4 linked regions of the Tamandua tetradactyla genome follow. The protein of the gene in region 3 purifies or fractionates together with the protein of the main gene of each other region. This does not show direct contact. Links are inferred from orthologs where the notes say so. Each region holds a gene or a part of one and is shown on either strand. Other genes may lie near its edges. The genes, in order: NUMA1, PNN, EPB41L3 and HSPA12A.

What was found.
Region 1: the proteins of EPB41L3 (region 3) and NUMA1 purify together in Homo sapiens (affinity purification with mass spectrometry; 3 studies listed by BioGRID and IntAct, with this or other methods). This does not show direct contact. The link is inferred for Tamandua tetradactyla from reciprocal best matches to the Homo sapiens genes EPB41L3 and NUMA1.
Region 2: the proteins of EPB41L3 (region 3) and PNN purify together in Homo sapiens (co-immunoprecipitation; 3 studies listed by BioGRID and IntAct, with this or other methods). This does not show direct contact. The link is inferred for Tamandua tetradactyla from reciprocal best matches to the Homo sapiens genes EPB41L3 and PNN.
Region 4: the proteins of EPB41L3 (region 3) and HSPA12A purify together in Homo sapiens (affinity purification with mass spectrometry; 4 studies listed by BioGRID and IntAct, with this or other methods). This does not show direct contact. The link is inferred for Tamandua tetradactyla from reciprocal best matches to the Homo sapiens genes EPB41L3 and HSPA12A.

The regions. Positions count from the first base shown.
Region 1 is NC_135334.1:74,167,307-74,175,206, forward strand, and holds the start of NUMA1 (nuclear mitotic apparatus protein 1), read left to right. Parts: upstream 1-4,888; 5' UTR 4,889-5,001; intron 5,002-5,007; exon of another isoform or gene 5,008-5,139; intron 5,140-7,900. UniProt on the Homo sapiens protein: Microtubule (MT)-binding protein that plays a role in the formation and maintenance of the spindle poles and the alignement and the segregation of chromosomes during mitotic cell division.
Region 2 is NC_135340.1:14,325,674-14,332,514, reverse strand, and holds the start of PNN (pinin), read left to right. Parts: upstream 1-3,839; 5' UTR 3,840-3,916; coding exon 3,917-4,029; intron 4,030-4,662; coding exon 4,663-4,734; intron 4,735-5,213; coding exon 5,214-5,282; intron 5,283-5,758; coding exon 5,759-5,831; intron 5,832-5,990; coding exon 5,991-6,085; intron 6,086-6,255; coding exon 6,256-6,331; intron 6,332-6,841. Other genes in the region: TRAPPC6B (trafficking protein particle complex subunit 6B), read right to left, coding at 3,594-3,740. UniProt on the Homo sapiens protein: Transcriptional activator binding to the E-box 1 core sequence of the E-cadherin promoter gene; the core-binding sequence is 5'CAGGTG-3'. Capable of reversing CTBP1-mediated transcription repression.
Region 3 is NC_135344.1:69,004,660-69,012,433, forward strand, and holds the start of EPB41L3 (band 4.1-like protein 3), read right to left. Parts: upstream 3,015-7,774; 5' UTR 3,000-3,014; coding exon 2,655-2,999; intron 1-2,654. UniProt on the Homo sapiens protein: Tumor suppressor that inhibits cell proliferation and promotes apoptosis. Modulates the activity of protein arginine N-methyltransferases, including PRMT3 and PRMT5.
Region 4 is NC_135339.1:79,124,904-79,132,779, forward strand, and holds the start of HSPA12A (heat shock 70 kDa protein 12A), read right to left. Parts: upstream 3,017-7,876; 5' UTR 2,973-3,016; coding exon of another isoform or gene 2,810-2,972; coding exon 2,807-2,809; coding exon of another isoform or gene 2,715-2,806; exon of another isoform or gene 2,400-2,714; intron 1-2,399. Other genes in the region: ENO4 (enolase 4), read left to right, coding at 2,715-2,972, 7,467-7,595. UniProt on the Homo sapiens protein: Adapter protein for SORL1, but not SORT1. Delays SORL1 internalization and affects SORL1 subcellular localization.

The sequences.
Region 1 (7,900 bases), on a different chromosome or scaffold from region 3:
AATCTTTCATATACCAAAATCTACAGGAAGACAACACATTATTCTTTTGTGGAATTAGAGAATAGTGTATGTTCTCACCAGACAAACCCACCCTGTTTCAGCATCAATATCAGATTTGATGCCTTTGAGCAGGGTTGGATACTTTTCTTGAAGTAAGCACTTTCTGCCCTTGGCTTTGGGTAGATCCTTGGTTGGGACCCCAGAATTCTACAATACTGGCCATGGATTTTAGCTGTAAATATTTAAGGCCAGATTTTTACTGGTTAGCTGCCTTGACATCAGAGCTTCTCATACAGTTCCTAAGCACTTCTGATTTGTGCAGCACTGCATCTTGTGTATTTTTCTGGTGAGGTAGCATTAAAAATGGAGTCCACTCTCAAAAGGTTTATTCATTAACAAATACATTCCCAATTCGTAGCACTCAGTTTGGCAGATAAAATGCAGGCAATAAATACTTATTGTATGAATATTTTAAAAAAGGAGTCCCAAGTAGTTGAATAAATTTGCCAGATGGAAAGGGTTATTATTTTTGTTCATATAAACAGTAGCTTTTGAGCTAGTATCATGCCCTCTTCATAATCTAACACAATCTGGCTTACAGCAAGCACCCAGGAAGTGTTTATAGGATGAATGAATGAGAAATTGCCAAATCAAGGATTTCTGTTTTGGTTGAGTTGATCTAGGCTGCTCTTTCTAACAACTGGCTCCCAGGTTCAGCTGTTTTAGTCCATACCTCATTCACAGTAACAGCCTCAGTTCAATTCTGTCAACATTTGAATGCCTGCTGCCCTATGTCTGACCAGAAGGAATGAAGCCAAGAAACAAATAATAAAACCCTGTCCATCACAAGCACAGAGAGACCTGCTGGAATCCTATCGATTGTGACATACTGGCCTGCACCCAGTTCCAAGTAACAGCTGCCCACTTAATGAATACTCATGTTCCAATTCTTAGTTCTAGTGTACCCTCTTCTATAAAGCCTTTATTTTCCAGATGGAAATAATCATTGTGCACTGCTTTAGACTGGTTGCATTAATGATCCCTAATCAGTTTTCCCCTGTATCCAGCCCCTTGCCCCATGACTTTGTAGTTCATCTGATACTTCAATCAGCCATGTTACCTGTACTGGCCAATGGGGCACTGACAAACATGAAGCACCAGAAAATTTAAAAGGGGCTTGCCCTCTTGAGCTTTGCCTGTGTCATGAGAACATGGCTGGCTTGATGGAGAGATATGAGCTGTAGAAGAGAGCCAGTGATCACAGTTGAGTTCATCCTAGACTAGATATAGGCAGCCTGTCCTCAGTCAAGATCAGGAGGGTCATCCAACCCACAGATAACTACAGACACATGACTGAGCCCAGCCAAGAGTAGAACCACCTAGCTGATTCAGAAACTTTGAAGTACTAATAAATGCATATTTTTTAAGCCACTATGTTTTGGGGAGGTTTGTTATAGCAAGAACTAACTGAAATCCCTCACTGTATTTTGAAAAAAATTGTATAACAATGTTTCCTCATCTATAATTGGAGACAAACCCTATCCTGAGAGCTGTTTTATGTCCTGCAGCAGGTGCTCAATATATGTAAGTAGTTGCTCTGCACTTATTTCTTTATAACCTATTTCCCATTCCTTCCCTGTACCTTGAGGACAGGGGCAGACAGACCTCTTTCCCCGACCCTGCACTGAGTCTTGCAATGAATGGGTATTTCATAAATGCTTTAAGGACAAATGGCAAAATAAAAGAATAAATGAATGGTATCTTCAGGGTGACCGCTGGGAAGAACCTCTGAAGCCTTGATGCTCTCTCCTGTGGCTGTTTTTTGGAGTCAGCCCTTCCCAGCTGCTATGCTGGTATTCTGCCCAGATCCTAACACCTTCCTCATCTGATCAGGCTGACCTGATGAATGACAGGGTTAACAGCATACCTGCCTTGTGATTTGGAATTGGACTTTTTCTTTTTCAAACTGGAAATATTTTAAACTTTTTTTAAGTATAAAAAATCAATATGATAACAATAAAGTTGAATAACATAGAGAAATACATCAAGTAGAAACAGAGTCTGGATCTCCAGCTCACTCTCCTAGGGCAAATACTGTTAATAGTTTGAGAGCACAACCTCCTGGAATACATATATAAACAGGATTATGTATATTTTTACACAGGCACATACATACTCTCTATTTCTTTGTAAACCTATTTTTTTAATCTTTAAGTTGTTGTAGACTCTCTTACTCCTTTTAATAGCTGAAGAGTATTCTATAGTATGCATGTGTCATACTTTTACTTAATTGAGCTGTACTCAACCCCAAACCAATGCAAATTTGTTTTCAGTTTTTGAAAAGTACGACTGGAATTTGATTTCTTGATAGCCAGTTTTTGCCCTCTCTGACAAGTAACAATATGATAGCACAGGAAGATTTGAGGAATAATCCACATCCTCAGGGGATCTGATGATTCAACTGCCTGGCTTAGAGAGGTTTCTGTTTTATGGGCCAAAGGTGGAAGAAACATCAAAGCATGTCATGAAAAGTCTGCCACCTAAACTAATGTATTCTGGGAGGCTACATTCCCAGGTACCCTAGGGAGGCCCAAGATTGCACCAGGCTCTGGCCCACCTCTCCATTTCTCTCTGTTTGAGAGTATATATAAAATTTTATCTTCACTTCCAATTCTGCAGTCTGGCCAAATATAACTACTTGCAGTAAGTTCTCTGAACCTACCTGCACATACAGCTTCCTCTGCTTGTAATAGTTTCCTCTTTCCCCCTTTCACCTTGCTAATTCGTACTTTAAGACTCAGCTCTGGTGTCACCTTTTCTGAGAAGCCTACCCTTATTCCCAAATCTGGATGCGGAACTACTCTTCTAGGCTTTCACAGCACCCTATACTTATTGCCATGGTAGCACTCATAACACTGTATTATAGTTATCAGTTTATTATCTGTATGTCAGTAAAATCTATCAGGGGAAGAACCATGTTTTTCTCATGGCTGTATCCCAGCAGTGGTGATAAGTCGTAGGGGTATAACAAATCAAAAGTTCCAACAGTGAATAGTACTATAATGAAGAGGAACATGATGATGCTATAATTTAGGATGTGACCTAGTGTGAGCAGTCAGGGAACACTCCAGAAGAAGGGATGATTGAGAGAAATCTGGAAGATAAGTACAAATTAACTGTACAGGGTAAAGATGAGCATTTTAAGCAAAAGTGACAGTATGTGCAAAGGCTGAGAGGTTATTTGGAAATTTAAATTTAAAGTAGGCCATATAACTGGAAAGGAGAGAGAAGGGTACATATTGTTAATCTGGAGGCTGGAGAGGTGGGCAAGAACTAGGTTGAGATGTTGCTTTATGGTATGTGCAATAGGAAGCCACAAAGTATATTTTAAAATGGGGATGGGGTGAGGTGGGGGGAGTAAACAAGATCAGATTTGCATTTTTAAGGATTACTCTGACTACAATATGCAAAATAGCTGGGAGGTTAGGGGAAGGACTAGATAGCAGGGCCCGGTAGAGGCCAGTTAATCATGACAGCATCAGACATAGGTGTTGTGTTAGCCAGACCGTTTGTTTCTTGTTTAGTTTACTTAAATCTATTCAATTGCCAGTGTCTTCAGTCTCTCTAATACCCTTTCCCCATTTTAACATTCGGGGAAAGATTTGAAACTTATTCAGGCTGAGTGTAAATAACCCAGTGCAGGCCATACAGGTTCCTTCTCATTGGGGCAGTTTAATCTATGCCTTGGAACAAGTCCTTAAGCTATAGAGGTAGTAGGCACAGCTAAAGAGACTTGGCTGGAGTCTGAGAACTAAGTATAGTCTTAGTTCTGTTACTGAGTTTGTATGTGGCCTTGGGCAAGTCACTACTCCTCCCTGGGTTTCAGTTTTCTAATCTGTAAAATGGGGATGAATACCCTAACTCACAGAGCTGTTATGAGTATTGAAAGAGAGACTGAATGGGAAAGTGCTGGGTAAGTTACTAAGTATAATAGATCTATCTGAGGGCTGTAAAAGAAGGAATGAAGCTCTAACTGTAGAGCTTTGATAAGCAGACAATGGAGGAGGTGGAGGAAGAGGAGGTAACCTGGGGGCAGTGGGTGATTCCTATTGACCCTCTGAGAAGGAGGATCTGGAAGAGGCAGAAAGGGGGATATTTCAAGTCTCACAAGGGCTCCAGAATTAGGGACCGTGATTTACTCCTATGTCTTGAAAAAGTCTCAGGTCCTCAGAGGAAAACAAACCCATGTCTGAGGGTGTTTCAGATCTTCTAGGGTGTGTCAGGACTTAAAGCATCCGTAGCAGGGGGCCCTATGTTTGTTGTGGGGTAGGGTCTCAGGCACCCCCAGATTTGTACAGGTATGTATCTCAGCGCCCTTCCCTCCTCACCTCCCAACCCAACGTGTGTTCTATCATGGTCAATGAGAAAGGGGATTAGGATTGGGTGTGTCTTAGGTCTCCTAGTATTTCTGCGTTGCCCCCTCTCCTCTCCACTGCACTGCTGTCCCCTGGAGCAGATTCCCTGTTTTCCATCCGACTCACCCGCAGACGCTTCCCTACAGCCTCGGACCGCCAATACCTCCGGGTTACACAGCGCAACTCCATGGTAACCGCTTTCGCCACCACGTCCCGGCTGGACGCCGGAAGCGCTGCCGCGATGCCTACCGGGACCTGTAGTTCTTTCTGGCACAAGTCAGAGGCGGGGCTCCAAGGTCGCGAAATGTGCTGGGATTTGTAGTTGCCTTTGGTCTGAAGTGTAGGTCGGGATCCGGAAGTTGTGACACTCCTTCTTCCTTCCCAGAGGTCCTCACGTACACTTCCTTTTTCCGGGTCCTCAAGCTGCTTTAGCATACGACAACAGTCAACAGGGGCCAATCAGAGGGCGGCGTGAGGAGGGCGGGGCCATAGTTTAAACTAATTGTGCGCTCACAGCGCTGGCGCGAGCTCGCAGAGAGGTGCTTTCCGGGGCCAAGCCCGAGGCGGAGCGGGAACGCGCAGCCAGGTAACCCGCGCGGGCGCGGCTGGCGTCCGGCCTGGGCACCCTCAGGGATGCCCAGACCTAAAGAGATTGCAGAGGCCGGTGCGAGTGGGAGGCCTCTTTCATAACCGTGTCTGAAAGGGGAGAACAATCGAGAGTAAGGTTTGTGGGGGCGTTGGGTGAGGGGCATGTCCTAAGGGAGGAGCCGAGGGTGCTTTAGGTGCGGTGGGTCTGTTTGGGGGCGTGTCTGTGGAATCCTGTCTGAGGACAACCGGGATGGAGAATGGGCCAGGTTCTTGAAAGGTTTGTAACCGAGGTTACTGTAACGTGAAGTCTTCGACTATTATTGTTAACAATAGTAGCTGTAGTAGTAGCAGCTGCAGCAAATATTTTCCGAGCACCAACTAGGTTTCAGGCACTGTGAAAAGGCACCCTTTTATATGGAGTATCTTTTTAATCTTCCTATCCTTATTATACTTACTATTCTCGTTTTACAGATGGAAAATCTGAAGTTTATAATGTTTAACTTGGCCAGAGTCACATAGCTGGTTGGTGGTTGACTGTACTTAGAGTTTTGGGAGGTTGGGCAGAATCGAGGACGGGTGAAAGGACACTGAGGATGCGGCTTGTCTTGGATGAGTCACTTATTTTTGTTCTTTGGTCCTTATTTTGGTTTCATATATGTAAACAATGATCTTATCTGATTTACCTATTTCATAAGGGTCAAATCAGATAAGGTATTTCGTGAAGGTACTTTGTATGCTACAAGGTGACTGTAAGTAATGTAAGTGTATGAAGATTGTGGGTGAGAGTCCAACTGAGTTGATTCTGCTCTCCTAGGTTCCTTCTGTTGCTTAGTCCTGAGGTAGCACCTGTCACCTGGTATTCTAAGAGTCTCTGTGTGTTTGCCTGTCTTTCTAGATGAGAAACAGTGTCTTTTGTCTTTGTATCCTAATGCCCATACAGGATCTGAGACATATTATGGCCATTAATTTATTCTTTGGAATGAATGAGTTTCCTTGTGCTGGCTTTCCTTTCTTCATTTAATGACTTTTGACCCTCAATAGTAAGTTATCTATTTGCTTGGAAAGGCGTTGCTTCTTAAAACAATATGTATTTGCTTTGCTCTATGCTTCCCTCTCTCTGTCCTCTGTTCCTGGTCCTGTGTTTCTACAAGTGGGTTACTCTCTGGGGTGGGGCAGAATCCTTTGATGTTAAGGGAGTTCAGGTTCCCTACCTTGGGGAGATCTTTCCTGCTTTGAATATATGGGAAACCTGGGGTGAACAGTCAGATCAAGTAGGTGTATGTGTTTTCTCCCTCTCTGTTCCTGTGTGGTATTGTCTCCTTTGAGTGGAAGGAGCATATACTTCTTTGTAAAAGCTTCCAAAGTACTTTTAGCTCAATTTCAGGCAAATAATGACTAATTTCAGTGCCTCAATCTTATGGTCAGAAGCTGTACTCCCCAAAAGCTGGGAGATCTCACCTGAGAGCTCATATGAAAAACATTTCTGTTTAGAGTGTTCCTTTTTATTTGTGAAATAGGGGAGCTGGAAGAATGCATTGAATTAAGGCTTGGGTTCTAGAACTGTTGGGATGGGGGCAAAGCCCTACTTCAGATGGCTGAAGAGAGCTGATCTGACGCTGTGTCTGATAAAACCCTATGGTCAGAAGGCCATTTAATTAAGCCTCTTACCCACTGTACACTCAGCAAACCAAGTGGTGTTTTCCAGGCTCACAGTGAAGACTTCCAAGAATAAAGCGACCATTCCAGAGGGTAGTCCATTTCAATGTTGAACAATTCTAATTAATAATTGTTTTGCACGGTCACTAAAATGATTATTTAATTTTATCACGTTTACTGTTTGTTTTTCACCATTCTTTGTTACACTTTATTCCTTCCTTTTGTGTTGAATAGTTGTTTTTTTCCAATAGGATTCTGTTCATGGTAAACACTGTCTTTGTCTGAAAATGTCTTTATTTTATCATCAGTCTGAATGATAGTTTATCTGGGTACTGAGTTTCTAATTATTTTCTCTTAGCACCTTGAAAATATTATTTCATAAAATTCTTTTTGTTGTGGTTGTTCTTGAGAACTACACTCTCAATTTAATCAGTATTTTTTCTGGTTGCTTTTTTTTTGGAGGTGGTGGTACATGGTTTGGAATCGAACCCAGGTCTCCTGCATGAAAGGCAGCCATCTAACTAATGAGCTACCCATACACCCTTTCTGGTTGCTTTTAAGATCCTCTTTTTCATTTTTGTTCTGCAGTTTCATTACATGGTGTGGATTTAAGTTTATTTATTTACTGGGGGCATGTAGTGATTCCTCAGTCTGTGATTTCATATCTTTTACCAATTTTGTAAAAATTCCTTGTCATTACCTCTTTAAGTAGTGCTGCTCATGGATCTCATATTTAACTTCTCATTCTGCCTTCCACATGTTTTTTTTTGTTGTTGTTGTTGTTGTTGGCATTTAAAAAGGGGAATTTAGTAAGTTGCTAGTTTGCAGTTCTAAGCCAAGAAAATGTCCCAGTTAAAGCAAGGCTATAAAAATGTCCAGTGTAAGGTGTTAGGGGAAGATACCTTGGTTCAAGAAGGCTGATGACTTTCATTGTTTCTCTCTCAATTGGGAAGGCACATGGCCAACGTGGCAACAGTCTGCTGGCTTTCTCTCCCAACTTCTTATTTCATGAGGCTCCCCCAGGAGCACTCTCCTTCATCTCCAGAGGTCACTGGCTGGTGGATTCTGTCTCTCTTGGACTCTCGTGGCTTTCTCTGTTGTCGTTCTGTCCTCATTCTCTGCTCTCTCAGAATCTCAAGCCTTTTCCAAAAATGCTTCCTCCTCTAAAGGACTTCAGTAAAGTAATCAAGACCCATCTGGAATGGGTGGAGATCTGTCTCCACCCAATCAAGTTTAATACC
Region 2 (6,841 bases), on a different chromosome or scaffold from region 3:
ACCACCTCCCCCTGTTCCGCGGATTTGTATACACCAGACACCATCTCGTTATGGAGAAGCAAAAACAACGCCTCGTCCGCCATTTCCTCCTTATTCTTCAAAGCTCCGGGTTTCTGATCCTTTCTGGGTCCAGCCGGTCGTCCGGTTCGCCTCGGAGCGAGTCGGCCAGCGCCGTTGAGCCCCCGCCGCAGCCCAGCCTTCCGTCGCTAGGAGACCGAGGAGCTCACGCCCCTTCGCGAGGGCAAGTTCAGCCTGGACCCAGGGCGAGGGCCAGCCCAGCCCGGGGCCACCAAGCCCTGGGGCCGGACGAGTGTCCGACGGCGGAGACCACCAAACCCGTCCGGCAGAGCCCAGCGCCAGCCCCGGGACGGGGGGCGAAGAAACAACTTCCGGTCTCCTCTACCCCGGCGGTCCGCCAGCTCTATGGTACCGAGTTCCTTCAGCACGGCCCACTGGCCGCGTGGAATGGGAAGAGTCCACCTCCGCGGCACGTGGGCCGGGTTGGGGGAGGTGACGCTCGCTGTAATCACTATATTAATTCACTATGAAAGAATTGATAAGAATTTCTATTAGTTTCATCAAAAAAGCTGCTTTTACTGCCATATGTTTCTCAGTATGAAAAGAGCGACCAAATCATCAATTTTAGACTGTACAATTTTAAATAGAGATACTGAGAAGCTATCCCAATCCACATTGGATGAAGCCCAGGTATGCAAAAATATTTAGGGCCATTTTGGCCACCAGGAAGTTCATTTTTACTGGTAGAAGAGTGTAAGGGGCAGGGGTGGAGGGTAGGGGTAGAGTAAGAAAAGAACAAGATATACTTGAACCAGAAAATACAAACTAATCATAGGAATAGGTGCTACCGAAAACTGCTGAAGAATTGAGAAGTGATATCATTGCAGGATGGAGTTCATAAAGAATCTATGGAGGATGTGGGACTTAAATCCTACAGAGGTTCAAATACATGTGCTAGATCATATTTACAACTCAAATTTGTTAAACTCTGGCTTTAAAATGTTCTGTAGTGTTTTGTTTTGCAAGCTACCAAAAAGTGATACACTAAACATGGAACAGCTTTTTTTTTTAACAGCTTTTAAAAAGTGGAATTTAAATTGCAAGTTTACAGTTCTAAGCCTATGAAAATGTTCAAACTAAGGCATCCAGAGAAAGATACCTTAATTGAAGAAAGGCCAATGCATCTGGAACACCACCATCAGCTGGGAAGGCACATTGGTCCCTTCCTCCTGGGCTCCCTTGCTTTCAGCCTCTGTTCCTGTGGGAGTTCCTCACTTTGTTTCTCTGGGGCTGGCTTTCATCTCTTGACTTCCCTTGGCTCTCTCCAGGTTCTGGCTTGCTTCACATCTCATGGCGACATCTGTTAGGCTGTAAGACTCTCTAAACATGGTGTCTCTGTTCTCCAAGTGTCGGCATCTGTCAGTTCTGCTCTGAAGTTTCTTAGTGGCTTTCTCTCTGTAGGATCTCTCCAAAATGTTTCTTTTTAAAGGATTCCAGTAAACTAATCAGGACCCACCTGAAATGTGTCGAGTTACATCTCCATCTAATCAAAAGTCACACCCACAATTGGACATCTCATATCTCTATAGAGGTCATCTGTTTTAGTTTGCTAGCTGCTGGAACGCAATATACCAGAAATGGAACGGCTTTTAACAAGGGGAATTTAATGAGTTGCTAGTTTACAGTTCTAAGGCCGAGAAAATGCCCCAATTAAAACAAGTTCATAGAAATGTCCAATCTAAGGCATCCAGGGAAAGATACCTTGGTTCAAGAAGGCTGATGAAGTTCAGGGTCTCTCTCTCAAGTGAGAAGGCACATGGCAAACACAGTCAGGGCTTCTCTCTCGGCTGGAAGGGCACATGGTGAACATGGCATCATCTGCTAGCTTCCTCTCCTGGCTTCTGGTTTCATGAAGCTCCCCGGGAGGCGTCTTCCTTCTTCATCTCCAAAGGTCGCTGGCTGGTGGACTCTCTGCTTTCTAGTGTTGCTCTCTCTGAATCTCTCATTCTCCAAAATATTTCCTCTTTTATAGGACTCCAATAAACCAATCAAAAACCACTCAAATGGGTGGAGACATGTCGCCCCTTAATCCAGTTTAACAACCACTCTTAACTAAATCACATCACCCAGAGAGATGACCTGATTACAGTTTCAAACATACAGTATTGAATAGGGATTATTCTACCTTTATGAAATGGGATTTATATTAAAACATGGCTTTTCTTAGGGGGCATACTGCCTTTCAAACCAGCACAGTCATCTAAACAAAATTTCCAACCTATATTATTGGAAGGATGAAAAGAAACAGCTGCCCCCACAAGATTGAATCAGGATTAAAACATGGCTTTTCTGGGGTAGTAATATCTTCACACCAGCCCAGAGACTAAATATGCTTGCAATTAGAATTTTTAAATTATTTGTAATCTCCATCCCTTTTTACCAAGCTCTACTTTTCCTTTTTTTCTTATGTAGCATTACTTTCTTTTTAATATACTAGATATTCTACTTATGTTTATTGTTTGTCTTCACACTTTTCTGGCCCTCCCATCTCCATGAGGGCAGAGATCTTTACAGCACACTGATATACCCAAGTGCCTAGAACCTACCAGGTGCATAGCAGGTGCTCAACAAATATTTGTTGAACGAAGGAATGAACTATTATTGATGGAACTTTTCTCCCTTTGGCGCCTACAAATTCTATGAAGCATGATCCCCAGGCTAGCTTACTATTAACACCCAATAGGAGCTTAAAAAGGATGGTTAGACTAAAGTGCCTTGAAAATTGAAAGTTTGAGGGAAAATGAAACATTAGTGGCAGCCTGAGTTGAATACACTTGGTGCGCTAATGCATTATTCGGAGAAGATGCCTCGCTAGCAGATGGAGAACCCCACGATCATTCACAACATTGTTTCTGTGAGAAAATATTTTCTGAGATATCAAAAGAATTCCTGTAGATACTTCTGGGCCAAAACCGATTCTCAGTTCAAGTACAGGAGAACCAGAAGTAGGATGATCACACCCACACCCGTCAAGAGGGCCGTTTTTCCCCAGAGCCAGCCTTAAATCAACCAGCGCTAGGCCAGGGATAGAGGCTTAAGGCAAAGAAAAACCTGCCTCGTCTGTCTCATCGTTGTGTTTCCCTTTTGGTATACTCCCGCCCAGGCTCTGAGCCGAATGTAATTCTCGGTTGAAGTGACAGGGACAGTTACATCATCTCCAGTTCCATACTTTCCTTATCAGTAATAACCATTTCACCCAATTTTTTATTTCTAAGGAATAAGACATGTAAGGCGTTTCAAACAGAGTGAAAAACAAGGCCAGTCCATAATAACCGCTAGCTAGTAAGATGAATGACGTTTCCTATCTCTTCGTGTCTGACTGCTCCGGGCTCGCTTTAACCTAATCAAGGGAAGCACGCGCCTCCGCCCCCTCTCTGGGCATGCGCACCAACAAAATGGCCACGCCCACCCCTAATGGAATCTAGCGAAAAGGGAGGAAGGGAAATAGACGCGTCTCCACCCCACACTGATGTGATTAAGTGATTAAAACGATGTAGGGTATATAAACAGCACACCTTAAAGCGGCTGGAAAACTGCGCGCTCTTTGCCAGGTCCTCGAGCCCAGACCCCAGAACGCTTCCAAACCCACAGCTCTGCGCCGAGAGAATCCGGGGACCCCCGGCTAGAGAGGCACAGAGGCGATCGCCCGGCAGGTTTCTCATTGGCCCAGAGTCACAAAGGCCTCAGCTTCTCTTCTCCCGGCCGCTGATTGGTTTAGGCCGAAAAACAACGCCTTTCGCTATTGGCTGGACGCAGCTGTCGCTCTCTCGGCGTCTCGCGGCGCGGCCCAGCCCGGCGCGGCCTGTGGAGCAGTCTTGAAGCCTGCAGCAGGGAGAAGATGGCGGTCGCAGTGAGAACTTTGCAGGAGCAGCTAGAAAAGGCCAAGGAGAGCCTAAAGAACGTGGACGAGAATATTCGCAAGCTCACCGGGCGGGATCCGAATGACGTGAGGTGAGAGCCGGACGCAAACTGCAGGTTCTGAGCGGGAGCCACAGCGCCGGGGTAAAGTGGGGGCGGGGAGGGCGGCCGGCCCGAGAAGACTGGAACCCCCAGGCCTGGACCTCGGGCGGCGGTAAAACTCCGTCTTCGGTGAGGTGGGCAGTCTCCGGGTCCCCACCTTAAGGCCATGGACTCAGGGGCATGAGAAGAAGACAGGCCTGGGTTTGTCGGGACGACTTTCCCGCCTGTGGGAAGGCCGTGACTGCGGATTCCCGCCCGTGGCCCCGCAGGCCCGGGACTGCAGCACAAAGCCCCCTCTCCTCCCGGCGGCCACCGTGCAACCACTGGCTCTAAGACTCCTAGAACGCGTTTCGGCCTCAGTGCCCGGAGGTTCTAGTCCACGTGCGGTTTCTTCGCGGTTCGCAGAATTAGGTGAAAATAACTAGGTCCAGGGGAAAAAGAAGTTCACCTAAAACAGTACTTCCGTGTTCTGTACCAAGCACGTGGATTTGAACCCCTCCTTTTAGAGCGACACCATTTATCCCTTTATGATAAATTTATCCCATTTATCCCCCCTGAAAGTGTTTGGTGCCATTAGAAGGGTCTACAGAATGATTTTTAAATTGAGTTTTGATTCTCTTACAGGCCCATCCAAGCCAGATTGCTGGCCCTTTCTGGTCCTGGTGGAGGTAGAGGACGTGGTAGTTTATTGCTGAGGTGAGGTTTCCTTTCAACTTAACTCGTGTATTAAGACTGTTGGCATTTTTATACTAAATTAACGTGGTATTGGTTTAAACAAAATTTGTGATAGAGCTAATGTTGAAATGTTTTGTTTAAACCTATGATTAGCTGTAGTTTTCTGTTTAGATCTGGCTGTCCTGAAACTTATAATTTATTTGCAAGCAAAACTCCAGATTGAAGAATTTATCATTTCCTATCTCCTTTTTTTTAAACCCCAACGTAGCAGATCTTCTAGAAGTTAAATATATTTCCACACTTGATTTTTGAAGAATTACAACCTATTTTATAACTTCTGATTATGGTTAAAAAATGCCATAGAACCATTTTGGAGTGTATGCCCATTTAAAGGTTACTTTAGTGGGAAAGCTTTTTGTGTTGTTTTTAGTCAACTAAATTCTTTTGCCAACTGAGAAGAAAAATTTTAAGTGCTTTCTCTTGGACGTTTTCATTTGCAGGCGTGGATTCTCAGATAGTGGAGGAGGACCCCCAGCCAAACAGAGAGACCTTGAAGGGGCAGTCAGTAGGTATGTTGGAGAGAAGATGTCTGAAAGAGTACTTCTTTCCCCTTTATTTTCTCAATTAGCACTTTACAAATGCTGAATTGAGTTGTATTAGAGTTAGGTTGATACCACTTTCTTTGAGCCCCTTTGGTATTCTCCTGAACTGAGACAGACAGTATCCCTGAAAACTCAACTCTTTAGTGATAGCAACACAAACGTTGCTAAAAGTCATGAAAGATATAGTCAATTTCTAATCCTTTTTCTGTTTGTACTACAAAAATTAACCAGCCTGAGAAATAATTTAGATATTAAAGGAGGTTGAAGGTTGGTTTGAACATTAATGGCATTTTTTCCCTTTACTTTTGGAGGAAAGAGTAAAATGAGATGGAGACTGATAGAATGAGGCTTCTGAAATGAATCCTAGGAAAGGGGTATTTACCCTTGATATGTGTTTAAATCAAATTCCACGGTCGTCATTTAAATTATTTTTCCCATGACAGGCTGGGCGGGGAGCGTCGGACGAGGAGAGAATCACGCCAAGAAAGCGACGCAGAGGATGATGATATTAAAAAGGTAGTGACATGAGAACTTGTTAGAGGATGAGTATAGTATTTTCATCTTCACTACATTTGAGATGTAGTGAGCATATTAACTTAATAAATAAATAAGTTACTTAACGTACTAACTTACAGATGCTAGTTAAATTACTGAAAAATTTTTTTTCTCCCACAGCCAGCGTTGCAGTCTTCGGTTGTAGCTACCTCCAAAGAGCGTACACGTAGAGACCTTATCCAGGATCAAAATATGGATGAAAAGGGAAAGCAAAGGTATCTTTAGTACTCTTGGAGGAAGAATTTTCTGTTAGATTATAATAGCCATGCAATTCAAAGAAAAATTCAGGGGTTTTTCAAATGCCCGTAGTATATTTTGTAAAATGATAAGTTTAAATGAAGTGAATCCTATTTAAATTGACTTTTGTGTTTGTTTCTTTTTCAAGAAATCGACGAATATTTGGCTTGTTGATGGGCACCCTTCAGAAATTTAAACAAGAATCCACTGTTGCTACTGAGCGGGTATTTATGCTTTGTTTCACTTATCTGTTATTTGAGTTGTTGAAGTTGTCAGTTGCATGTTTTTTAAAAGCTTACAAGCTCTTTTTATACTTCATTGCCAACCTGATAGAAAGCCAAGGAAAAACTTATGGAACTTTCTGAAGCTGTTCCATTAACTGGTCTTTCATTGAGGTGCTGTGAAGTAATCAGTGAACTTCTCTTTGTAGTACAAAGACTCCTGCTCTGTGACTCATGAAAACCCAGGTTCCAGTATAAGCCCTTTAACAACCTTACTGTATGACCTTGGAACCCTGGACAAATCTCTATTTAGGTTTTCTCTCAAGGGATTAAAACTCCATGATCCTTCCAACTGGTTCAGTTATTCTAATTTTTTAAGAGTTGCTTACACGTTTGGTTTAAGTTTTAACATGTTAATTTTGGTAGAGAATATGATGCTGCTATATAAAGTTGGTTGTTTTCCAGAGTAATGGAGAGAACAAATGACTAGTTTACCAGTTTGAATTGTCAAAT
Region 3 (7,774 bases):
ATTGCTATATCATCTACTCCCTAGCATTATGACAAATCATTAACTGTTTTAATAGTTATATCTATTTCTCCATCTTTACTGTGAAGATTATGGTTCAATACATTAACTTTTCTAGCCTCCTGACCAGCTCTCCATTTTAAAGTCTTACTAACTCTCTTTCTTGCTATTTTGGCTAACCAATTCTGAATCAGAGAAGTCTATACTCCATGTGTTAAGTGTCACACTTTCCTTCCAGGCATTTCAGAGAACTCTGAAGTCATAAATTAATTCTCACAGTGTGGTGGGTGAGAATTATTATTGCACTTACAGATGAGGAAGTAGCTGCCCAGAGTGGACTGTGACTCATCTAACTCTCCTTCTCTTTTTAATAAACCATTCACAGATAAAACTCCTTGACTTAAAATCCTACAAAAATCTTCCTCTGCTTTCGGTTTTGCTTCTTTTGCCCAGAGGAAGCACGCCAACCCTCTGTATTTTGAGGTGAGTGGGTATTTGAAGATGAAGAATCTGAGGTTGTCCTCAAAGAGAGCAGAAATAGAGGAGCATGGAGAATGTTCTTCAATACAAGAAGGCGGGTATGTAGAAGAGAGAGAAGGCTAGGTATAATAGCTTAGGAGACAGAAGAAAGTAGGCCTCCAGAGATCTTCTTCTTTGTTTGTTTACAGGGTCTTAGAGAACTTCTGCTCCTCCTTCAGCATCCAAACCACAGGACTCCCTTGCTGCTGCCGCTCAAAGCATGGGCTCAGTTCAGCAAGGTCCCTGAACTTTCTCACGTCATCTATACGAGAACACCTTTAGCAAAATTGTCCCTTTGGTCACCCAACTAGAATATGAGTTTCATGTGAACAGAGACGATGCCATGTTCATCCGTGTTTAATAACGAATTTATTTAAATGAAATAGAATACTTCTGAAGGTAGTGAGAACCCCATTTCTAGAGGTATTCAATGATAGGCTTTTATAGAGGGACTTCAACCATGAAACTCATCATTTATTTCCACATTTCTTAATATCTTCAGTGCCCTCTTATTTAAAGTGAGTTAATCAATCCCAAAAAGTTTTAAAATATATACAACTAAACAATGCAAGCAAGTCCTCACAATGACTATTAGTTTAACATGCTTATTTTAATAACGACTGGTCCTAGAAATTACTAAATGCCTTTCCAGGTCAGTGTTATAAATGACCAGCATCTGTCTTTAAATACATACGGAGCACACACTATGTGTCAGGCCCTGGAAATAAAAGAAGGAAATCAGAGCAGCCCTGCCCTCAAATCCTCTAGAAGGAAACTTTTATCGGGATTGAGGTTCATAGCCTAGGTATAAAATTTCAATCTGATCGGCTGAAGTTGTGCTCCTCAGAACAGAGAATGTTTTCCCAAGGTTACTACATGTTCTAAGAAGCCTACTGAAAACTCCTCTTTGGAAACTGGCAGTCACTTATGTCTGAACTGTAACTGGCCCAGCCTAGGGCAGATAAGGGAAGGAGGAGAAAAGGCCCACAAGGTCATTCCCAAACCATCTGAACTTGAAGCCTTCAGCGTTCTGAACTGTGTGTAGAGATCCGTGCATTCCCAGCCGCACCTCCACCTCCCACCGCCACTCAGCACAGTTCCGGGCTGGGGGAAGGCGGAGCAAAGCCTGCCTTGAAAGTAACTGTCTTGAGAAATGCAATAAGGCATCCACACCCAGACGCTGCTCTCCCACATTAGCCTGTTTCTAATCAGGTGGAATTTAGACTTAAACTGAAATTATATTTGGGATTTACAGTCATTCTACTTTCATTCATTTCGTGGATTTCAGCCTTCTGCCGTCCCAGTCTTAAGTCAATGCATTTCCTGGGGAATTAAACCTGAGTTGTCCATCAGCCTTGAGTAATGGGGCTTCTAACTCCGGTTCCCTAGGAAGAGCAGCGCCCAGGCCCAGGTTAGCCATGCCCTGGGGGATCCTCCGCGCTCACCCCGCCTCCCGCGACTACGCTAACCGCCGACCCCGGGTTTCCACTTCTCGCCTCTCTCTGGAAACCGGCCTCTCCCTCCGGAGAGGATTTCGCGCCGGCACCACGGGCTTTCCGGGCTCAGAGGCCGCCCGCCAGCCTCCAGCGGCCGCTGCACTTCTACAGGAGGAAAAGCGAAAGCGGCGGTCTGCGGGGAGGGCAGCTATCCAACCTCCGCAGAGCCGCCGCGTCCGAATCCGCAGCGGCCGCGCTCCAGAGGGGACCAAGCGGCGCCCACCCACACTGCAACTTCCCGTGGGACTCGGTACCTCCCAGAGTAGAACCGCAGCGCCAGACACTGTGCCCGGAGGCCAGGGATCCCGCAGCTCCCGCCCCAGGCGCGCCCAGCTCCCGCGCACAGCGCCCCCCCCCCCGCCCCCTTCTCCCGAGCGGGCCGCCAACCCCAGGCCCCTCCGCTTCGCAAGCAAACAGCGCCAATGGGACATTGGAGGTTCAGCTGCCCCAACTTCCACGTCCCGAACTGCTGGCCGCTCGCCTCCGGATAACGGGCTGCCTTCGCCAGCCTCCACCGGAGGCCACTACTTGCCGTGGGGAGGGAAGTGGAAATGCCCAGAGAGGGGCGCTCCCCTGGATTTTGAAAAATCGCCGCATTTGCCTTGGGGCGGGGGGGGGGGAGTGGCGCCTCAATTCCCCTACCGCACCCTCCGGCCACGTATCCTGGGACCGCTCCGTGGAGGGGCTTAGGTGCTGGAGCTGGGAGGAGAACCAGCAGGGCGGGAGTTGCTGGAGAAGCCGCTGTGCGCAGCTGGCGAGGGGTAGAGAAAGCGGCTTGTACGCCTGGGCCTCCCGGGGAGCACAACACGCCCACCCGCACACCCACACGGACCTGCGCTCGCTCCCAGCAGCGCCCCCGCCGCGGCCCGGAATGCCGAGGTCAGAGACACTGTGCGCTTCAAGGCAGGGGCTGAGGTGCAGAAATGGAGGGGGAGGCTCTGCCTCTCCTCCAAGGCTCGCACCATACCAGGAGCCCGCCACCCCCATCCTCCAGGGCGAGCAAAGGCTGCCTTGTGAGATACCGCTTCGTCCGCCACGGGTTTAGGCTGGCGGGCCGGGGATGGAGAACAGGGGGAGCACTAAAGAGCGAGGGCTCTAGTGCGCCCCTACACCTCTGCGCGCGCCGCGGAAGGCGCACAGAAGCAGCGAGCAGCCTCGCCTCCGGCGCGCAAACTAGGTTGCCCGGCCCTGGGCTCCCGCCGAAGCGCGCCAAGTCCAGCCCCCCGCGGGCGGGTTATGGGAGCAGCAGACCCCCGCGAATCTGCAAATGTACCGGCCTCTCCGAGTCGACCTAGCGGCGGGCGCAAGGGATGGAGGCGAGCGGGACGGAGGAGGAGCTGCGGAGCAGAGGAGGGATGACGTCCTTCGGCGAATCTCCAGGCGCTCGCCCTGCCCGCGGGGGGTTCGCGGAGAGGCGCGGTGCAGGGTTCCCGCTGCATCTCCGCCACCGCGCGCACCAGAACAAGCCTGTCCAGCGGCCGCCAAAGACGCACTGCCTGCGACCATCTCCACAACACCTCCTGGCCGATCCCTTCTCCGGGCGTCTGCCCGGGAGTCCTGGCCGCGCCCGCCTCGCGCCATCCCGGCTCTGTCCCCCGACGACCTCGAGCCAAGGGCAGGCGCCCGCGCCCCAGCTCCTGTCTCGGGCAAGCAGCCGCGCCCGGCCTGCACAGCGGGATGGGACACCAGGAAGGAGAGCGCTCACCTGAGTGGCCTGGCGCCGTCCTCTCCTGCGCCTTCCCGAGCGGGTTCCTGGCCTTCCGGCACAACCTCTCCCGAAGAAACAAAGTAATGCAAGGGCAGAGAGAAGCAGGGCTGTCCACGGGGCCCGGGGCCAGCGGCTCTTCCTTTAGGCTTCTCCCGGCTCCAGTCTCGGGTCCTGCGGCAGGAGAGGGCTCCGGGAGGCTGGAAGGGGCCGCCGGACGCCGACTGCTCCCGCGGCGGCGCGGTACCTCCAAGTTCCCACCTGCAGCGCGCGTCGGGCGCCTGTGACAGCCCGCACCGCCCCGCCCCGGCCCGCCCCCTTCTGCCGGTTGGCTGCCGCGGCCCACGGCGGCCCCGCCCCGGCCCGCCCTCCGCGCCCAGCGCCCTGGCAGGGAAAGCTGCTTCCAGGCTTCCGAGGGCTTCCATCCAGCGGGGTCTTGGGGTCCTCCGGCCTATGCCTGCAGCAGGAAACACACGCAGACACGCATGCAAATATAGTGTGGTGGTTTGGAGACTGGAGGAAGGAGGGAACATACGAACACCCCTACGTGTCCCTTAAGGAAATCTGGTAACGTGGCTCCTTTTGCTGGGATTAAATTACCTCAGTCTGCAAAGAGTTGAAATCACAGCAGCACAGACTCCAGGGATGTGGAGTAGGCCGAAAGTGGTCTGGGCTTTAATTTGGTTTAAGCTTCCCCCAACTTCACCCGAAGCGCTAAAAAGGCGAAGAGAAGTTCCTGACTCCCCCGGCCTTTCTCACCCAGCCTGTGCCGCTGCCTGGAAGGGACCTCGGGTTCCAGGACCTGCAAAGCTCCCACCACTGGCGCTTACGGGCCCCCCATGCATGAGCCCGGCACGTGCTTGCTGGAACCTGTGGCCTTCAGGGTCCAGAAGAGAAAAACTGCAGTTTGGTGGGTAGAACTAGGCCTGTGCTCTATAGCGTTCTTTGGCCTTATAACTAAACAAAGAGAACATTAACCTTTCATTTCCTTTCCCCATCCGTCCTAAAGACCGGGACAGGTGTTCACGCAACCTGCCCAGGCTGGCGCTTCATTCATGCTTCCTTTTGATGGCTCTTGAATTCGTGCTTCGGGAAAACTGACTTGCTTTAGTCCTCGGGAGGAGAAAAATGATAAAAGTCTAAAAAGCACAAATCTGTAAAGCTATCCAATCAATCAGTAGCACCTGACTCCGGGGCGCGTCTTTGTGAGCGGGATTCATTGCCAAGTTCCTATTAGTCTAGTAACATTTAAAACTTAACTGCGCAAATAGCACATTTTATAGGCCATTAGGGAAATGGCATGTTCTGAGACTGTATGTGTGACATGCTCATGTCCAGCAGTGTTTTGTAGACTCCTGTGCAGGTGAGGCTGAGGCAGGAGGGAAGCAGGCTTTACTAAAGGAAGCCTGAAGATGGCTTATCACAAGGCCTTCCGGGGACAGTGACACCAGCCAAGGAGTGGCTCCCTGCAAACTGATGCTAATAGCCTGGAATACTCCCTTATAGCACTGGCTTCCTGTTGTTGAACTTTTCATTGTAATAACATATGCACCACTCAGTATTGCCCATTTTTAATACTTTCCAGTGTACAATTCAGTGGCATTAATTATATTCACAATATTGTGCTGCCATCGCCAATATCCATTGCCCCAACTTTTTCAGCACCTCAAACAGAAACTCTGCACTGATTAAGCAACAACTCCCCTCCCTTTCCACAACCCCAGGAACCTGTAATCTACTATCCTTCCCTATGAAATTTGCTCCTTCTAGGTATTTCATATAAGCAAGGACATACAATATTTGTCTTTTCTGTGTCTGGCTTATTTCACTCAACATGCTGTCCTCAAGTTTCATCCATTTTGTAGCCTGTCTCCAAACTTCATTCCTCTTTATGGCTGAATGATATTCCATTGTGTGTATGTACCACATTTTGTTTATCCATTCATCTCTTGACAGACACGGGTTGCTTCCACCTTTTGGCTCTTGTGAATACTTCAGCTATAAACATTGGTATGCAGAGCATCTGTACAAGTCTTTTGGCTATATACCAAGAAGTAGTTTTGCTGGGTCATAAGATAATTCTGCATTCTACATTCAACTTTTATATTTTAAGGCAAAGATTCTGTTTTATGACAACCTAAAATCTTGGGACCACTTTGGGAGATAATAGCAAGCTTTTTCCCTGCAGCCAGTGCTTATTTTCAAAGCTCTCAGCAGAGACAAGCTACACCTTGTCCTTCTTTAAACTCGAGAAGACTTGGGTAGCAGTGCAGTGGGAAAACATTCACAAGAGATATTTTAATACCTCAGGTTAAGTGCTTGTTTAATGAATTGCTATTTGACTCTGAACTGGGTGAAACAATGAGTAGAATGAAGGTGGGGCTTGTTCAGGTTTGAGTGCAGGTTGACTCAAACTGGAGGAGTGCCTGGTGAAAATCAGAAACACTTTTGATGTGTGACAGCCAGGTGAGGTACAAACAAAGGGGAAAGATGGGTTTCTCTCTGGGAGCGCTGTTCCTAGCATAGACATGATGGGAAGTTCTCCCTCAAGAAAATACATTTTCTGAACATTGGGGAAGGAGCTTAAGGGTGCCCGTAAATAAGAAAACATTATGTGGAAGAAAGGATGAGAACATATTGGAAGGGGTGATTGACAGGTCGGTTGACATTGGGGGAAATCAGTAGATGCTGTGTGGAGCCCTGTACAGCCCAAGATTCTGAAGGAAGAGTCAAAAGAGAATTGCTAGGATTTAGAGGCAGTCAAGTGCAGGAGCTAAGAGTCCTGGAATGGCTTCTGGAGTTGGCAAACACAAGAATGAGTCCTGGCTCCAACATCTAGGCTTGTGGTTTGCACATGGAAACATTACTTAAGTTTCATTTTGTTCACCTGTGAGAAGCTAAAGGTGCTTACCTGACAAGCTGTATTGAGGATTAACCAAGATAATGCATCTGCAGTGATTGGTACAATACCCAGCATACAGGAAGCAATCAATAAACGTAGGTATTATTGTAAACACAGTTTAAAGATGGCTTAAAGGTCACCTAATCCTTCTGATATTTGTTACTGGTAGAATTTTTCTATCCAGTGCTCATGCTACTGGTGGTAGGACATGCCCTGGGAGGAGAATCTTACTATCCTACCCCTGACGAGTCCATTACATCCTCTTTGCTTGAAGGGGAAAAGTGACTCACTACATGTTTCACTGGTTTGTCCTCTTGCTAGTTTGAATCTAAGTACCCCAGAAAAGCCATGTTATTTTAATCCTAAACCAACCTTGTAGGGGCAGATCTATGGTTCAGGGTAGAACCTTTTGATTAGGTTGTTTCCATGGAGATGCCACACACCCAATTGTGCATGTGACTTTTTGATTAGATGAAGACATGACTCCGCCCATTCAAGATGGGCCTTAATTAGTTTACTGGAGTCTTTAAGGGAAGTCATGGAGAAATAAAAATTCAGAACTGACACAGATGCAGACATTTGGGGATGCAGAAGAAAATGGCAGAAGGACGCATAGGATCTGTGAGAACCGTTTGAAACCAAAAGTCAGGAGAGGAGCCCAGCAGACGTTGCCATGTACCTTCCCATGAAATGCTAAGCAAGCCAGAGCTCAGAGTTTTGTCCCGGAGAAGCTAAGTGAGGCCCCACAGATGCGTACAGAGGAAGCTACTGGAATCAGAAGCGCAAGCAACAAACCAGGAGCGAGGATCTCAGGTGCCAGCCATGTGCCTTCCCAGCTGACAGAGAAATCCTGGATGCCATTCACCCTTTCTTCAGATCAAGGTATCTTTCTCTGTCTGGCTTAGTTGGACATTTTTAAGGCCTTAGAACTGTAAATTTATAATCTAATAAGTCCCCTTTTTAAAAGCCAATCCAGTTCTGGTATATTGCATTCCAGCAACTTTAGCAAACTAAAACAGCCCTATTTCTGTCCATGGTGGTCATCCAAATGCCTAGATCCTCTTTCTCAAGAGAGATAAATACAGATCCCCTGAGTGGCTTCTGTTGTTCAGGCCAGACAGGCCTTGTCCCTACAGGAGTTGGTTTCCCAGTCTT
Region 4 (7,876 bases), on a different chromosome or scaffold from region 3:
ATGATCCCATTACCCAAAGACAACATAATTAACCTGCTGATATCTGCCCTTTGAGACTTTATTTAATCCACGTCTATATAAAACACACGCTGACCTTCCCCAAACCCTCTGCCCCAGCCTCCATGACTCAGATTTTCTTCCTTTTTCTCTAACCCTTTTTGTTTTTGTCCTGTTATATCTTCTTGCTCCACTCCTATGTCCTAAATATAATCCTTCCCCCAAATTCAGGTTCTTAGTTCAACTTTTCCCTCCAGAGGATTCAACTTTAAAACACTTCGTGTATGTCTTTTGTTTCTTTGCCCTTCCCTTTTCCCTGTGATACCAATGCACTTCAAACGCCACACATCTGAAACCAAATGAATCAGATTCCCTCTATCAAAACCAAATAACTCATTTATCCTATTTCTGTCAACTTGACAGATGTCTACATTCATCCTCTTCAGCCATCTTTGGTTCCCTAACCCCACAACCAGTTACTCAAAGCCCTTTCCATCCTCCCTATTATTCCTCTCATCCTTCTCTTCCCATTATAGTTTGGTCTTTCCTTCTTTATTATTTCCTACCTGGATCTTCTGCTTTTGCTATACTACCACCCTGATCAATCCTACCTACTGCTACCAATCTACTTCCTAAAACAGTACTTCCACCTGGCCCATCTGTTATGGATTGAATCATGTTCCCCACAGAAATATGCTCGAGTCCTAAACCTCAGTCTAACGGATGGGAATTCCATTATAAGCAATATCTTCAAATATCCTATTAAGAAAGGGCCAAATTAAATCTGGGTAGACCTTAATCTAGTATGCTTAGGGTCCTTATAAGCAGAGGAAATTTGAACAAGGAAGTAGGAGATACATCAGCAGAGAGATAGCAACTGACAGAGGCAGAGTTAGGACTTGCCGGTAAGCTTCCATCAGAACAGTACAGACATGAATAAGCACATGCTGCCAACACCTCGATTTTGAACTTCCAGCCTCCAAAACCGTGAGACAATAAATCCCTGTCATTTAGGCCAATTTGTCTGTGGTATCAGTCATTGGCAGCCCTGGCAAACTAAGACACCATCCTATATTCAGCTATTTGTGGTTGCTTCTGACTCTTACAGAATGATATTCAAACCCTTTCACAGTCTAGCCTCAGGCTACTTTTCCATCCTTATTCTAAACTATTTCTGAAAAGCAAATAAATCCTTTGTTCCAGCCAGAATGGTGAACACATTCATCATTTACTCAACGTCAAAACATTTTGTTGTAAGTCAAATAATTACTGAGCATGTTATAGGCAAAACCTATTCATTCATTCAACAAATATTTATTGAATAGCTCTTCTGCCAGGTAACGTACTGGGGATGCAGTGGTGGACAAGACAGACCAAGTCCCTGCCCTTATGGAGCTTAGAGGCCAAGGGGTTATAGAAATATGGTGGTCCCAGCCCAGGATACTTTCAATCTTCCACTAAAATGTCAGATGATTCAACATATCCCTGAGGACTGAATTTTGCGACCCATTTTCCAAGTGGGAAAGGAGTTCAGAGGAAAGGAAAGACTGGCTGGGGGTAGAGCATGGCTTCTTTGAAGATGTGGGACTCAGCCCAGGCACTACAAGGTGGGTGTTCACCTTCATCCACCCAGCCGGATTGAGGAAAGGCACAAAAATGGAATGGAAATATACTTATAGCCATATCCATACATGCATCGGAAATTAACTTTCCAAAGTTCTTTCACTCACTTCCTTTTATCTTAAATGACTTCTGAAGCAGGGAGAGTGAGTAAGATGTTTTCCAGATGAGCACAGTGATGCATAGATTAAGTGATCTGCTTATGTCAGAAACACACACAGCTAAGATAAGAACAATAACATCCTGCCCATCTCGGCCTATTCTTGCAGTAGAGTGTCTAGGGCAGAGCGCACACAGTATTAAGTTCTATAATTACACAGAACACCTGGCAAGTGTAGTGAAATCAAGCAGGACATTTTGGATTTTAAAAGGAAGGGCACAAGCAGCCTCTGAAGGTTGAGAGGGAATACAACCCTATGATAGTCCTCCATCCCCCACCTCTAGGCCTGTTCATACCCTAACCACCTCTTAAGGTTCGCCCCAAGTATTTTCGGACCACACTGGTTTTCCTTCATTTCACGCCCACGAATCTCCCAGGGAAGGGAGCGCAGACTTTTCTCCCCTGGACATCACAGTATACCCAGCCTAGCACCGTGTTTGGTTCGGAGCAGGTAGTTGACCAAAACTGGCTGAATGAATGAATCCCTGGGGCCTCCACAGCTTAGTAAGGACACCCTGAGCTCTGGACCGCCGTCGCATCCGGGGGAGCTCTCCAACCGCGATGAACAAGGGAAGGGGGGACGGCCGAGTTCCAGGCCACGGGGAACCCTGCGCGCTCCCCGAGGTCCGCGTGCCCAGCTGGAAGCCGGAGCTCCCGCCGCTAGGGCTCCGCGAGGGGGCGAGTCGCCACCCAGCTGAGGGCCGAGGAAGCGCTCCGAAACCGAAAAAGCACTTCAGCAGACAGATGTTTCCCCATCTGCAAAATCGTCGGGAAATGTGGTGAAAAATCAAGCTGGGAGAGCGCTGTTCTCCCGAAAGGTGGGAGCCCCAATCCCTCAGGGACAGGGGAGGGACAAGTCGGAGAAGCCATTAGCTACCCTGGGAAGAGGGGCGAAGCTCCAGCCGCAGGAGTAATTTAGTGCTGGAAGCCTCGCGAGATGTGGAGGCAGCCTCTCGTGGCGTTGCCTAGCGACAGGAAGGACGCTCGCGGGCCCCAGTCTAACCCCCTCTGTAGCCTTAAATCTCCTACCATGGGGGAAGAAGGCGGCGGCCGCAGCTGTGGGACCACTAGGGAGCTGCAGAAGCTGAAGCAGCAGGCGATGGAGTACTACCAGCAGAACGACGTTCCGCGCAGGCTGGAAGAGATGCTCAACTCCACCTTCTACCTCCAGCCTGCCGACGTCTACGGACACCTGGTAGGGACCTGGGGCGGGCATCCTCTTCCCTCCAACCCCGCCCCCCGTCCCGCGCTGCGGCAACTCGGTGCGCCTGCGCTGCGCAGTCGCGCATGCGTACCCTGCCACCGCGGGGTTGGAGAGCTACGGGTTGCCGGTTAGCTGAGAGACGAGGCACTTATCTTGGCGGAGGGTGGGGGTCTGGAGAGGGGAAGGAGGATGTTCGTGAGAGAAAGTAGTGGGAAGAAAGCACCAGAAGGGAAGGAGGTCCTACCACCCTGCTTTTGCCTAGGGGGTGAAGGCCAGCGCGCTGGCATTTGTTCCAGCTTGGCCTGGGACCTAATGTCTTGCCAACTCCTGGTGCATGCGGGTTTCAGTCCGATTTCAGGTCTCAACTCCTTGCCATGTGCGCCCTACTCTGCCTGGATGCCCGTCCCACCTTACCAGCTCCTGTCTAAGCTCCAAGATTCAGATCAAAGCCTTCCCCACTCCATCGTTCTTAAATGTTCCTGTAGCAGTTTCTGCGTGTATTGTAATGCTTCGAGCCTGCCTCACTAGCTAGCATGTGAGTTCCTTTTAAGGGCTGGGCCCTTTCCTTATCACCTCCTTAGTCCCTGTGCCCAGCTCGCTATCTGGCACATAACTTATTTAGTCTTTAGCAATGAGCAGTGGAAACAAAGGTGTTTTTTCAAGTCCAGATCCGTAGGTGTTTTCACAACACCTGCCATCTGGAAGGCGGTGTGCTTGGGACTGGTAGGAGTTTGCACTGTGATGAGGGAAAGCAAGGAGATAATATTACAAAATCAAGCTGAGTGTTTAAGTGCCATGAAGAGGCACGATGTGCTGTAAGCGTTCAAAGCCAACATCTTGTTAAGGCAGTTGTTATAGAGGATGCCCCTGCAATGATCGTTTCTTCTTGTTATGGCCTATACATCGAGGTTGTATGTTTGGGGGCAGGGAGTGATGAGATGTTTACTAAGCCCCTTGTGCTGTGCTGCTTATGTTATGCCACTTAATCCTTAGAACCACCCCATGATATGAAAATTGTGAATCCTGTTTTACAAATAAAGAAGCTGTGGCTCAGTGAATTTAAATGATTTGTGCAAGGGACACAGTGAGTGATGGAAGCAGAAACCAAACAAGGTCTGCGACCCTAGTACATAGCAAAGTGAATGATTTATCTGGTGGGCGCTCAGAACTGTTCGTGAAATGAACGCCTAACTCTGAATTCCATTCTTCCCAGTATCTCATGTTAGAGAAATTCTTGCAAGTTATCTAATCTAACTTCCTCATTTTATAAAGACACCAAGTCCAAAGTAATTGGCCAGTCCCACAACTATTGAGCACAAAAGCTAAGGCTAGAAAATTTGGTTTCTGGTTTCCCAGTGTAATGCTCTTCCAAGTCTGTCAGGGCAGCTGAGACAGTGGTCTGTATAGCTCTCTAGGAACCTTGGTTGGGGAGAAAAGCCACTGATAGATAAAATAATTGGAGAAAAAGATAAGGTGATATATGATTGCATGCTAGATTGGGAGAGAGATTACTATACCTATTAAAGGAATTCCTGGAGGGGGAAGATCCCTGTAGGTTTTGGTATCCAGGATAGTTTGGGCTTGTACTTTGGAGATATACAGGAATTGGACAAAAGCACAGGGGAAAACACTCACCTTTTCATCTTCATAATCACAGTCTGAGTTTTAGCAATCCTTTTTTTCACCTTGTCTCCCTCTACGGAGTCCATCCTGCACAGTGTTCCCAGAGCATGTTCCTAATACTCCAGCCTGACCATCATCTCTGGATGAGAACCTTCTTGTGCTTTCCCTTTGACCGCTTAGTGAGCTCCAACAGCTTCACATGTGTGATTCGAGTACTGGGTCCCTACTCTGACAACAGGCTTATCCCTCACCACTTCCACATTGCATCACTTATTATTCCCCACAAAGCCAAAGTTTCCCACTTCCATCCTGTTAGCTTATCCTGTCCCGCTCTACCTAAAGTATTTGCCCTTGACTTCTCCCCTAGTCTGCCCTTGAAATATTGTAAATCCTCCAACATTTGACTCAAATACCTTTTCCTCTCTGCTTCTCTTATGTATTAAAGGAATTCAGGGATGGGGATGACCCCTGTAGTCAACAGCAGTATTGTTTATTCCTTCGTCGTTCAACTTATGATTGAAAAAGTTTTTAACTAGGGAATCAAGCAGATGGAGATTTGATTCTTGGCTCTGACACTTATTAGCTGTGTACCTTGATGGTTCCCAATGAGCCCTCTCTCCAGTCTGAACACTCTTATGCAAGTCGTGCCCACATGGACTCAACTTGGCCATGAGACTTGCTTTGATCAATAGGACCTTGGCAAGCATAATGCAAACAGAGGCTTAATAAATGCTCATCCTCTTGGAACACTTCCTCTTGGAAGCTAGTCATCATGCTGTGTGGAAGCCTGTTTACCCTGCTGGAAAGAGAGATCATGTAGAGAGAGGCTCCAGAAGATCTGATACTTCCAGGATGGGAGAAAGATACCCAGTCAGCCCCAGCTGTTCTAGCCATCTAAGATTGCCACTGGACACACCCAAAAACTGTTGGTTCCTTTCCTCTTATGACGCAATATCTGGCACACTGAAGGGGCCTGGTACTTGTTGAATCGAACTCACTATAATACACTGAGTATAAGCTAGGTAATATTTTTGTTGCTTCTGATTCCATCCAAATTTATTTATGCACTGAGCACTATAATATACAAACCACCATCCCTAAAATGCATAGGTGGCTTGAAAATTGCCTTTTGCTTTAATTTTGTTGGGGTACCACCTCTGAGCTGGCACATTGCTGTAATATACAAATCACCATCCCTAAAATGCATAAATGGCTTGAAAATTGGCTTTTGCCTTAATTCTGTTGGGGTACCACCTCTGAGCTGGCACATTGCTGAGTGTGAGAGTACCTGTTACCTAAACTGAAGTTGGATTTTTTTTTTTTTTTTTTAGAGGGAGGAAGGGAAGGAAAGACAGAGAAGGAAGGAAGGATGGAAGGAAGGAAGGGAGGAAGAAAGGGAAACATCTTTAAACATTTTCTTGTTTTTATTATATTTTGTTTGTTTGTTTTTTTTTTTTTTTTTTACATGGGCTGGGGCCGGGAATCGAACCGGGGTCCTCCGGCATGGCAGGCAAGCACTCTTGCCCGCTGAGCCACCGCGGCCCGCCCTGAAGTTGGATTTTGAACTGAAAGATCAGATGTCTGCTAAGTGAAACAAAGAGCTCAATACTATATAGTAATGAAGAGGGCAAGGGGGGTTGTCTTCACTTTTCCTTCTCCTGTTCTCTCCTAGCTCCTCTAACTCCCTGAGTGAACTTTCTACCTCAACTTCATTCTCTTTCTTCATTCTCTCCCTTTGATCACTTCTAAATGGCTTCTACTTTTCCACATCAATGAAACTGCTATTACTGAGGTTCCCAATAATCCTCTTTGAGCATGTAGGATCATACACAGACTGGTGGTAAGTGAGTTACAGCTGCTGCATATGACTTCACCTTGACAATATCGGTAAATCATTAGATTACATATTTAAAGAATCAAATCAGTAAATATTATTGCAATATCAATAACGATTGGCCCACTTCAGACTTCTTAGGTTCGAATACACCATAGTGTTCTAGAGACCAGTTAATTACTATCTCTTGGACAGAGGGATAGAGGTTTGGTTTGCTAAAGCTGCCAGAATGCAATATACCAGAAATGGAATGGCTTTTATAAATAGAATTTATTACGTTACAAGTTTACAGTTCTAAGGCTGTGAAAATGTCCAAATTAAGGCACCAATAAGAGGTTACCTTCACTCAAAAAAGGTTGATGCCATCTGGTATACCTCTGTCAGCTGGGAAGGCAGTCGGCAATGTCTGCTAGCTTTCTCTCCCAGATTTTCATTTCATAAGGCTTCCATGGGGCATTATCCTTCTGCATCCCCAAAAGGTCTCTGGCTGTGTGGGCTCTAACACTACTTCCAAAATGGTTCCATCTGAAAGGCCTCCAGTAAGGAGCTCACCTTGAATGGTGGAGATACATCTCCATGGAAATCACCTAATCAAAAGGTCCCACCCACAATTGGGTGAGTCCCATCTCCATGGAAACAACTTTAAAAAGATCCCACCCAACAATATTTAATGAGGATGAAAGAACACGGCTTTTCTAGGGTGCACAACATTTCAAACCGACAAAGGTACGTTAGTGAGTTGAGTTGACTCTAAGAAGGGTTGCTAAATGGTAACACAGGGCCTTAAATAAATGTATGTATATTTCTTCTGAGAGTTCGTAAAACAACATGTACTAGAGACTTGGCATCAGGCTGATTCAAATCTCAGCACTTTGGGGAAGGGTAGGTCCCACAGAGCTATTAGTCTAATCCTGGCACCAGAAATGACCTTCAGGGAGAATTTAGTAGAAACTAAAAAGAGTAAATACGAATGACCTTTTAAAGATAAATTAGAGGTGCTGTTGTGATTTTTGTGCTTTGTGTTGAAGGCAAACTGCTTTTCTAAACTTGCAAAGCCTCCCACCATATGCAGAGTAGTGGGGAAAAACGTCCTGGATGGACTGGGGCTTCCGACACTGCAAGTGGAAATATTCTGCACCATTCAAAATTTTGCCAAGGTATGAGACAGCTTAAGTGCCTTCTTCAGTATGTCCTGGCCGCCTCCCTCCCTCCCCCCACAGCATTGATTAGTAACTCTTGTCTAAACCATAAAAAATTATCTTAATGTTTTGAAATTCAGCATTTGTGAAATATTTATAAATACTATTCATTGCTAGTCATATATATAAAACATGAGTCATACCATCAGCCCTGCTGGCTTTTTCTGTCTCTAAATGTAACTCCAGTACAAATGTGCCAAGCTACCTGCAATGACCCAAGATGGAGAAAGGAAATGAGG